Schizosaccharomyces pombe: one gene and its partner. The protein of the gene in region 2 interacts with the protein of the main gene of each other region in a biochemical or structural test. Each region holds a gene or a part of one and is shown on either strand. Other genes may lie near its edges.

Region 1 (4,306 bases), 4.4 Mb from region 2:
GCTAATTCTTTAATGGCTTTTGCGTCTATTAAGAAGCTCGACGTTTTTGGTGCTTACAGTCATTTGACCAGAGCTCTTCGCTGTCCAATGCCTGGTCCCAATTCTTTTGAATACCTGTTGGTTTCTGCATTTTTGACTCTCACTCAGCTCAATCTCCCAGCCTATGATCTCAATTTTTGTAATAATTTTATTAGAAAGTTAAGTTGGTCTTCGTCTACCAAATCAAATTATGTCAGCTTATTGATTGCTATGGTCGTTCGTGAACTAGTTTTTGCAATTCTTCCTCGTGGGTGTATCTGGGGGTTTAATGGAAAGCCTTTATCGGAAGTTTCTGTTTCTCGAAGTCATGCACCTGTTTCGGATTCTTTGTTTACTATTGGATTGGACATTCTCTCTCAACCAACCTTGTCTGATGATTTGCATCGAGAACGAATGGTTGCTTGGCGAGATGAATATCATGTGCACTTGTATTCAGCATCAAGAAGTCCTCTTACTAAAGTTATAGATTGTGTAGGACATGCCGTTACCAAAAACAATAATGACGTTCTTTCTGGCTTACAGCAATTAATGCAAGAAGAATGCACAGATATTGCAGTATTACGCACTTCCTATTTATGCGTATTATCTCTACAAAATGTTTTTGCATCAAACTCTAAAGAATTTAAACTTCGGGCACAAATCGAATCTCATTTCGGAAGATTGATGCTAGAACATTTTATGGATTGCAATGTCTTAAATCGACCAGTACTTTAATTTTAAAATCATTTTGATGCTTTTCAATAAATATTGATATAGAACTGTATAATAGCTAGACAAAATCACGCATCAAACATATAATCTCTCGTTAATAAGATAAACACTTCATTTGTAAGATTCGCATAGTGTAAAAAGAGCCGAAATTTACGAATTACGGTACGACAGTCATACAAATGGTTTAGTCTTTGTTCTAAACATACTATATATTACCTTAGGAAGAAGACTATTGAGCGGTGGCTGTATGGAGATGTGGTTCAGAAGGGTACACAGGTGCGGGACTTCCCATTCTAGTTGCGAGGGAAGACTGTTCTTTTAAGCTGCTCAATTGCTTAAAGCGGAATTTCTCGTAATGATAGTATGAGGTCGTTTCAATTAAATCTTGAAGATGAGTTCGCATCAAAAAGTTACGAAGAAAAACAAACTCGCAGTGGTTTTCATCATCCACATTGACAACCCCCCATCTGTTTTGACGACCACGAATAGGCCTTCCATCTACGATAATGGCTTTTTCGGAACCGACCACGGCAAAAGGAATAAGATTTCGGACGGCAGCATTTAGATTAATTTCCTCCTCATCGGCGTCATCAGAATCATAAGGATACAAATTGATGTCGTGTTTAACAAATTCTTCACGGATTTGCTGCTTAAATGCTGCTCTTTCTTCAAGAGTCAATGAATCAGACTTAGCGATAACAGGCACAACATTTACGACTTCTGTTAAGCGTTTGAGGACAGCAATATCAATAGGGCGCAAAGAATGTCCAGTTGGGCGAATAAAGAATAAACAACAATGTACTCTTGTGTCTTGTAGACGTTTCTCGCGATGTGAATTTAATTCACGACGAAGATAGGAAGAGTGTTGGTCCCTAATGTACTTAATTATAGGCTCCCAGCTATTATAGTTAGAAATTGCTGTGCAGGAATAGAAATTTCCATTTCCACTGATCAAACTTACCATTTATCGTTATTAATTTGATCTCCATATCCAGGAGTGTCGATTAAATTTAATTGTAATTGAACACGGTTCTCGCGAACGACTATGTGGTTAGCAATGTAACCATAATAAATATAAGGATTGCTGACTCATTGAAGCCAGCTCAATGAGTTCAATCAAAGATGAAAACCTAACTATAAAAAAATCAACATACCTTGGCTTGTAACATGGATTTCAGTTGTCTGGCGATAAGGAGCTTGGTAATCCAGACGACCCTTACTGTCCATCAAGTGCGCAGAGAATAAAGTATTAATCAAAGTGCTTTTTCCGCTACCTGACGGTCCTATTTGAAACTGTTAACATCATTATAATTGAAAATCTGTAATAAAAATAATACGTACCAACCACCATTACATTAAATTGAAAACCACGACGAATTAACTTGCGGTTAATTTGCGAAGTGATAGAATCGAACCCTATAAACATTAGTTTTGACTCTTTATCAACATTCTTTTGTTTTCATACCCACATAATTATTTAGGGTAACTGCAGAAGGAACTTCCATTGCAAGTTGCGAATTGAATGAATTTGGAATTTGTTGGTTTTGGCCAAGTCAACATTGTAACGTGAAGCAAGTCAAAACAAACAAAAAGGTCTCGGCAATATTTACGATTTTTTTTTTAAATAATCTAACAGAGAGAAAACAAAATTTAACAATATATTTTATTAATAGAAAAGTGTTTCGATGTTGTATAAGGGCCCGAAAATATATTAAATTAGCAATGTAACCTAAAACTCGAATACGATAAACAAGTAGATTACCAGCAACTGAATGCACTATTGAAGATTAAACTGTTTCTTATAATTACAATCATGGTATATTTTTGCACATTGTATTTCAACAAACCAATATGCTGTATCAAGAAAACCAAAACAACTTTTATAATTAAGTAGATCCTTTTATTTTAATGCTACGAGGTATAACTAGTGAGAGTGAAGAAGAATGCTCCATTTTTTATAAACAAATACATGCAACCGCTTCACAGAGATCAAAGTCCTTAAAAATTTTCAACCAGATTCACAAATAATTAGCGCTAAATTTAAGCGATTATTACCAATCAGTAGCTTAAGAAGCATAAGCGTTTCGTACACCGGCAAGCTTAGACAAGAAAGCAGAACTTTGTTCATCTATTTGAGTAGACTTCATAATTTGAGAGCTAATCAATAGAGAGTCAAGAAGTCGAGGCTCCGCAGGGAGCTTGAAGATTCGCTTCCAATCGTCTAAAGGTAAAGGTTGTAAATTTTCGGCAGCACGATTTGCATTTTCGGCCTTACGCTTAGCAATCCACTGTTGAATTTTAGCTTGCTCTCTTGCGAGTTGACGTTGATGAAATCCAAGATTTCCTTGCTCATAATGAAACTCATCAGTAGACTCCAATAATAACTCAATATTCTTTCTATATCTGGTACCCAAACTAACCTCAAAGTTACTGAACGTTTCAGTCAAGGGTAAGTTGCTTTCACAATCTTCAAGAGCAGCTTCGGCGGTTAGGGTAGAAGCTGGAGTAGGAGGCTCACTAAGAGAGTGGAGCAAACAGGTAGCCAAATGAGAGTTGTGAATAACAATAGGAAGTTCACGGATAACATTGGAAGGAGTCAAGTTGTGGCTATTGAGGGAGGAGGCGGTCCAAGTTTTTTCCTCATGGGCAGCCATAAACTCTGGAGTTAACTGATAAGCACGCATGTACAAAGTTCCATTAGAAGATTGAGACAAATCATAAAGAAAAGCGATACTGTTGGGGTTTGCCTTTTGATAAGCATATTGCGTTTCTACAAAAAAGGGGCTACTTAAGAATGAACTAACATAGGCTCCCAAATACCAACCAACGTGACCAGTAACAGCACCAATGTACTGAAGACGATTAAGCATCGCCTCAGTATGAGCTTGGCGTGCTTTACCGGAAACAGACTTGTTAACAGCAGACTCTTCATTTTCAAGAACAGACGGAGACTCGAAGCTGCTACTGACTTGTAAAACACCATCAATGTCAATACCAACAAGCTGACCTGAACGAAAGTTAGTTAAAAATATTATTTCAAGAGAGAAACTGTGGTTGATAAGAAATTTCACTAAGTAGAGCATTACTGAGCTGACAAATGCATAGCTGCATCTTTGATGCAGAAAAATTGCAAGTTTTATCATTTCGAAAAATAGGGAAAACTTATTCTCCAATGACTACACTTACCAATTGTTCCCATATTAGGAAAAGAATCACGGCAGTGCTTGATGATATTCATTACAAGTAAAGATTCTAATTCCACCCGCTCAATAGGGGGAGACTCCAATTCTGGACTACTGAATTAGTTATTTATATATCTTAGTCATTCTTACACATTCAATGAAGTTGTATCAGACATGTTTTTTAAGTCTGCCAAGTAGTTGGTTGAAGTGCAAATTGCTGTACGAACTTCTAAAGGAGTTAGTGTTCACCAGTTTAATGACAAGTAACAACAAGTAGCAACTTTTTAAAGCCATGGCTGTCGGCGATTACAAGTTATAGAATAGAGGAGCCTACCAGTTTTATTAAACCTTTTCTAACTAGTTAAAAAATTTGT
Region 2 (5,260 bases):
AGTTTCATCCAATATCTCTAACAGCAAACTAGATCGCCAAACTTACTCCAGAACAACGCCTTGTAGATGTCACCGTGTCCGAAAGAGCACTGGTCGGTGCCGATTGTATGGTGAATGAAGGTACCACCATTAAGGATAACAGCAACATTAAAAAGAGCATTATCGGTAAAAATTGTGTAATTGGAAAAGGGGTAGTGGTCAGCAACTCTATTTTGATGGACAACATTGTTGTTGAAGACGGAGTACGTTTAGAATCTTGCATAGTCGCCTCAGGTGCTCAAATAGGCGCTAAGTCAAAACTTCGTGAATGCGAAATTGGCGTTGATCATCGCGTTGAAGCTGGCCGTATCGCTCGGGGTGAGCGGCTGGTTGATATGGAAAAAATTGAGACGGACATGGACTAATACTGTGTATCAAACCGTTGTCAGCCAACCTTTTTTTTGAAATAGATATAATAAAAATTTCGTGCACTTACTCTACAAAGTGTGTCTAAACTAATCAAGGTAAAGGTGATATTAGTCAGGAATTTTTAGATTAAAAATATATACTCATAGATCAATATTAGCTAAAAGCGAAGGGGAATAAATTACAGATGAAAACGCATGTACATATATATGCAAAAAAGTTATACATATATACAAGGTTATACACATATACATCTAAAAAAGTTCATATCGCTATGGGTTAGTAATAACTCGAAAATATTTAAAACAAATAAAATAACCAAAAACTTTAGCACTCAGCGATCTTGGTGATAATAAAAGAATCATTTATTGATCATAAGCAAATATTTCATCAATTGCAAAGCAGAACGGTTATTTGTTTTGAAAATTAAATTGCCTTACCTAACGTTCATAAAAAACAGGACGTTCTTTAACTCCATTATTATAATATTTAAAACTTAAAACAGTTAGCAAGGTATTCGTATTAACAAAAGCAGTTGATGTAATGGAAATCAATCAGAAGATTATTTGTCGCATACTGATGGAGCCCATATGGGAATCAGGCAAGATCCCGAGCAATACCATCGCTCAATCGCAAATTATAGTCATCATACAAAAATATCCAAATAACATATTAATTTTACTTACCTAAAACTGGGTGTTATTAGAAACAGCTACATTACATATCTCACACTGGTAAGTGAAAACGCCAAGTTGTTCCATGAGCAAAAAAGTTTTTATAGAGGAAAATGAAGTGAAGTAAAAAAACGTATTTATGCAACAAAAAAAATAAAATTTTAAAAATAATAAATAAAAAACTAAATTCGTGTATTAAATGATGAAGCATTTGAGAGTTACCTTTCAGCCTTCATTTGCTGCTGTTGTTGCTGCTGTCTCATTTGGAGTTGTTGAAAATGAAGATTTCGTGCAACCGTCATTACTGTTGCCAAATCAGTACCAGCGGCTATTGCTTGACGATTCAGAATTTCAGTAATTTGTTCCCGTGTAGCACCTCTAGCTTTTAATTGAGAGGCACGCTGTTGAAACAAAATTGCAAGTTGTCGTATTTTTATCAAATCCACGGATTCTCGTTTTAACATAGGTTCATTTGCAGGTACAGGACCCGAAGGTAAAAAGTTTCCTAAAGCTGTTAGAAAAATAAATACAAAATTAAAATAAAATTGAATTGAACTCAAAAAGTACTGAAATAAGCCTTTAATACACTTACCAGTCGCATTGGGGGGCGATTCAGAAGATGCCGCATTAGCTGGGAATTTCTGCATAGGTTTCGGAGGGGGAATTTGAATACTACTAGGTGGTAGACGTTGGATTTTGGGTGTAGTTTTTCTTTGAACTGGAGCAGACTGAACCAAATGTGCGGGTGGTTGCTGAGCTTTCGGTGATTGCTGCTGCTGCGCTTTTTGTTGCTGTTGCATTTGCATTTGCCTTTGTTGTAGAATAGCTCGTTTACGCCGCACATTCTCAATAAATTGTAGTCTTTGAAAGGTAGGTTGAAAATCGCGTTTTCTTTGGTCATCCATTAGTAACAAAAGGTTCTCTTTTTCAAGTCTTTCTGCTTCTTCATCAGCAAGTTGGGCTGATCCTTGAGGTTTCTTTCTGGTGCATGGTGGTGCAGAGTCGGCCAACTGGTTCATAAATTGAATCATTTCCGCTTTAGACTTCGCAGGAGTTAAGAAAAGTGGAGCTTCTGACGCTAGTAGAATGTTGGATTCCAAAGTCAAAACAGCTTCATCCGAAAGTGAGTTAGCAAAGCTTTCTGAAAGTAAACATAAATCTTGCCAAAGTGTTTCGGGAGTAGGACGAAGAACTGTATGATACACTGGAGGTGAATTAGTATTGGGTTTGGTATCTTCAGGTTGATTATTAATTGGGTTGGTGTTATTTTGCTGCTGTTGATTAGTAGAGCCAGGCTGAGGTTGCACAGTCTGATCAGCAGAAGGACTTTGCCGATGATCTATTATACGAACCGTTAAGCAACCATCATAGAATTTTACATCGGAATTCCGAAATACTTCAAGACAATCAGGTGGTATAAGCTCCATCCTTATATATTGCAAAATTGATTTTACCGGCCCATTATAGGTGAAGGCGCCATCTTGTTGCTCAAACCGAAAATGAAATTTATGAATATGAAGAATTAAACTCGGCTCTTCTTTCGAAAATTTATGTTCAATATCATGCAATTTTCTGGGAACTTGAGTATTATGTCAGTTAGAGTCGATAAAATCAAATACGCAAAAAAACCAAAGAAGCAAAACTTCCTCAACACTACTTACCATTAAAATTCGAAACGTTTTCATAAATTTTTGATAAAAATGCATCATCTGAGGATTCAATTCCTTGTTTATTCTGAAAATCGTCCAAACTCAATTCCTTCCCATGATAGCGATACGTATAGTCGCCCAAACCATTATTTCTTTCCATCTCTTAGTTCAACGAACTATACCAGTAATTGTAAAACAATATTCCCCCTATGTTTACAATTAAAATTATAAGCTGGTTAAATTCTTCAAATCCTACTAGGTTAGATAGATAGAAGCGTTTGCTCACATAACGAAATGTAATGATGCGTTATTAATGGTATCGAAGTTCAAGATTTCGTTAATAGTTTTGCAGTTTACGCGCTTCAAAGCCCTAATCCAAAATAGCCTCTAGCTTGAGCAGTTCTGGCATTATCGTTTTCCTCCACCGCAGCAAGTTCTTGTTGGCATGATTCATTCTGCGTTTACTTTTGACTCAAATTAATATCTAAATATTTGAAATTGACAAAGTTTTCATTGATTTTGTTTAAAGCTGTAATTTCTGATACTCTCAAAAGTATTCTTGTTTTGTGTTACTTTTCTACAAATTAGGCATGGACACTATTGTCTTAGATCAGCGGGGAGAAGTGTTCAGCTTTTTTCGATCGCTAGATATGCTGTGTTATGCAATTATAGCTCAACAATATTTTCAAGAGTAAGCAAAATTTCTGGATTCTATAGTAGAAATCACTAATCTAATTCTTGTCAGCCCTACAGTTCTCTTGCTGTTACTCAAGGTTTTTGTTCAATTGGTAAGTTGTTCCAGTATTTAGTTTATTTTTCATTATACAAAAGCCAGAGATGCTATGTTCATGATTTTGCTTTTTTCTAGTCATGTATTAACATAAATTGCTAGAGCTACCTTACCCCCAAACCTTTCTCTCAGTTAAACGCTCTACCGCTTTTTTATCCGCTTCTGCTTAATTTTCTAATATCTTTAATGGTGCGTATGTTCTTTAATTTGCCTACTGCAGGAGAAAGCTTGGATGGATATTTGTATGGTGGCTCTATTATCAATTTCATTGGAGAAAAAAATGAATCTTCACGTATAGATTTTATAACGTCCGATCTTGTACTTTTCTGTCTACAAATATTCATGGCGCTTATTCTAATTGCTTCAAACAAACGCCCAACTCAAGCATCTCATATTCAAGCTTCCCAGTCGGGCCTTTCCAATGTTGACGGAGACGAGGAACCATCTGATCTCATAACAGAGGATTCCCGTGATACACAGCAAGGGCAAAGGCAAGAAGACTTGCAACGGCAATTAGAGAATGAACGATCAAGGTTGATTGCTCGATTTTCTCATTCATTATACTCCTTTCAACACGGATTATCGTTTGGTTCTCCACAAAACAGAAACACTCCCCTCCAGAGGCAATCAGCAGATTCTTATTCTACCCCTGTTTGCATTGAGGTTGACTCGGAGGATTGGAAAGACTTGGTATGGAAGTCTCAGTATGCTACTGAAAATGCGAATACAAATTCTATTAACAATTCGCCTTTATCTTCCAACACCACAGGTGTACCGAACTCTGTTTTAACTAATCCCATTTGATTTGTTCCCTTTCTTGTTGTCGTTGTGTTGAAATGTCTTGAAGATGCTCTTTCATTGGCTTTGCTCGCTCTTTTTCCAATTGCCTACCGAGTTTTCCATTTCCCTTTTTCTTCTCAATATTGCGCTTCTAAAAAAAATAGTTAGTTACTTCAATGATTCTCAATAATGTAAAATCTGGGTTTCATTTATTTTTGTCAGATTCATTACCTCAGCTGCAACTCGGGCTGCTTCTGTGGGGGATAAATGCTCTTTATTTGATGTATTACCGGTTTCCGCTAGTTTTCTGCCCGTACGCGGAGGTGAGCTAGCTTTCGTAATGGCTTTTGCTGGTTTTTGAACGTTCACTGCAGGCTTTGGTTTTACAGTTGGTTTTTCATTCACCACTTTTTTTTCCTTTGACTTGGAACTACATATTGATAGTACTTGTCCCATAATTGATTATTTGGCTTTGGCTGATGACTTTGCATGTCACTCACTTCATTTTACGTACGGAAATTCTCGGTAAACAATTTTAAAGAATTCTATGCCGAATTTTAGCAAAGCTTTTTGATTACATTGTTTGTACATGATTAGTTAATGAATAGCCATTTCTTATTTAAACCATTTTTCACATAGTGCTGTTGGTACTGTGTACTTTGTTGGAACCGGATTTAAAACCATTGTTGTACTCATCAATTGTATAATCAGTAAATGCATTCAAGTTCCTACAAAACATTTTATTTATATTTAAACAAAAAAATATCTAATTGTTTTCTTCAAACTACTATGCTAAAACTTTACAAATGAGATGTGTCAAATTACAAACTATTTATAAATAAAATTCGCAAACGTTGAAACTCTTCGACTTTCATTAACATCATAAGAATCTATGCACCGGTTCCAAAATTTTTACCCTTCTATACGTGTATCTCCCTATTCATCGTCTTCTAAATCATCTG

What was found.
Region 1: the proteins of spt20 (region 2) and spn2 form a complex in vitro, tested with the Schizosaccharomyces pombe proteins (one study listed by BioGRID).

The regions. Positions count from the first base shown.
Region 1 is NC_003424.3:988,199-992,504, reverse strand, and holds spn2 (mitotic and meiotic (sporulation) septin Spn2), read right to left. Parts: upstream 2,301-4,306; 5' UTR 2,256-2,300; coding exon 2,216-2,255; exon of another isoform or gene 2,167-2,215; coding exon 2,092-2,166; exon of another isoform or gene 2,034-2,091; coding exon 1,905-2,033; exon of another isoform or gene 1,794-1,904; coding exon 1,712-1,793; exon of another isoform or gene 1,650-1,711; coding exon 980-1,649; 3' UTR 754-979; downstream 1-753. Other genes in the region: DNA-binding transcription factor Moc3, read left to right, coding at 1-753; tif308 (translation initiation factor eIF3h (p40)), read right to left, coding at 2,817-3,757, 3,937-4,043, 4,083-4,108. UniProt on the Schizosaccharomyces pombe protein: Plays a role in the cell cycle. Involved in a late stage of septum formation leading to the separation of the daughter cells. Involved in the correct orientation of forespore membrane extension during sporulation. Binds phosphatidylinositol 4-phosphate.
Region 2 is NC_003424.3:5,368,883-5,374,142, forward strand, and holds spt20 (SAGA complex subunit Spt20), read right to left. Parts: upstream 2,963-5,260; 5' UTR 2,889-2,962; coding exon 2,741-2,888; exon of another isoform or gene 2,659-2,740; coding exon 1,672-2,658; exon of another isoform or gene 1,585-1,671; coding exon 1,298-1,584; 3' UTR 1,092-1,297; intron 901-1,091; 3' UTR 846-900; intron 805-845; exon of another isoform or gene 758-804; intron 678-757; 3' UTR 518-677; downstream 1-517. Other genes in the region: translation initiation factor eIF2B gamma subunit tif223, read left to right, coding at 33-404; DSC E3 ubiquitin ligase complex subunit Dsc4, read left to right, coding at 3,319-3,419, 3,474-3,516, 3,621-4,322; protein new13, read right to left, coding at 4,309-4,449, 4,530-4,754; GTPase Fet5, read right to left, coding at 5,235-5,260.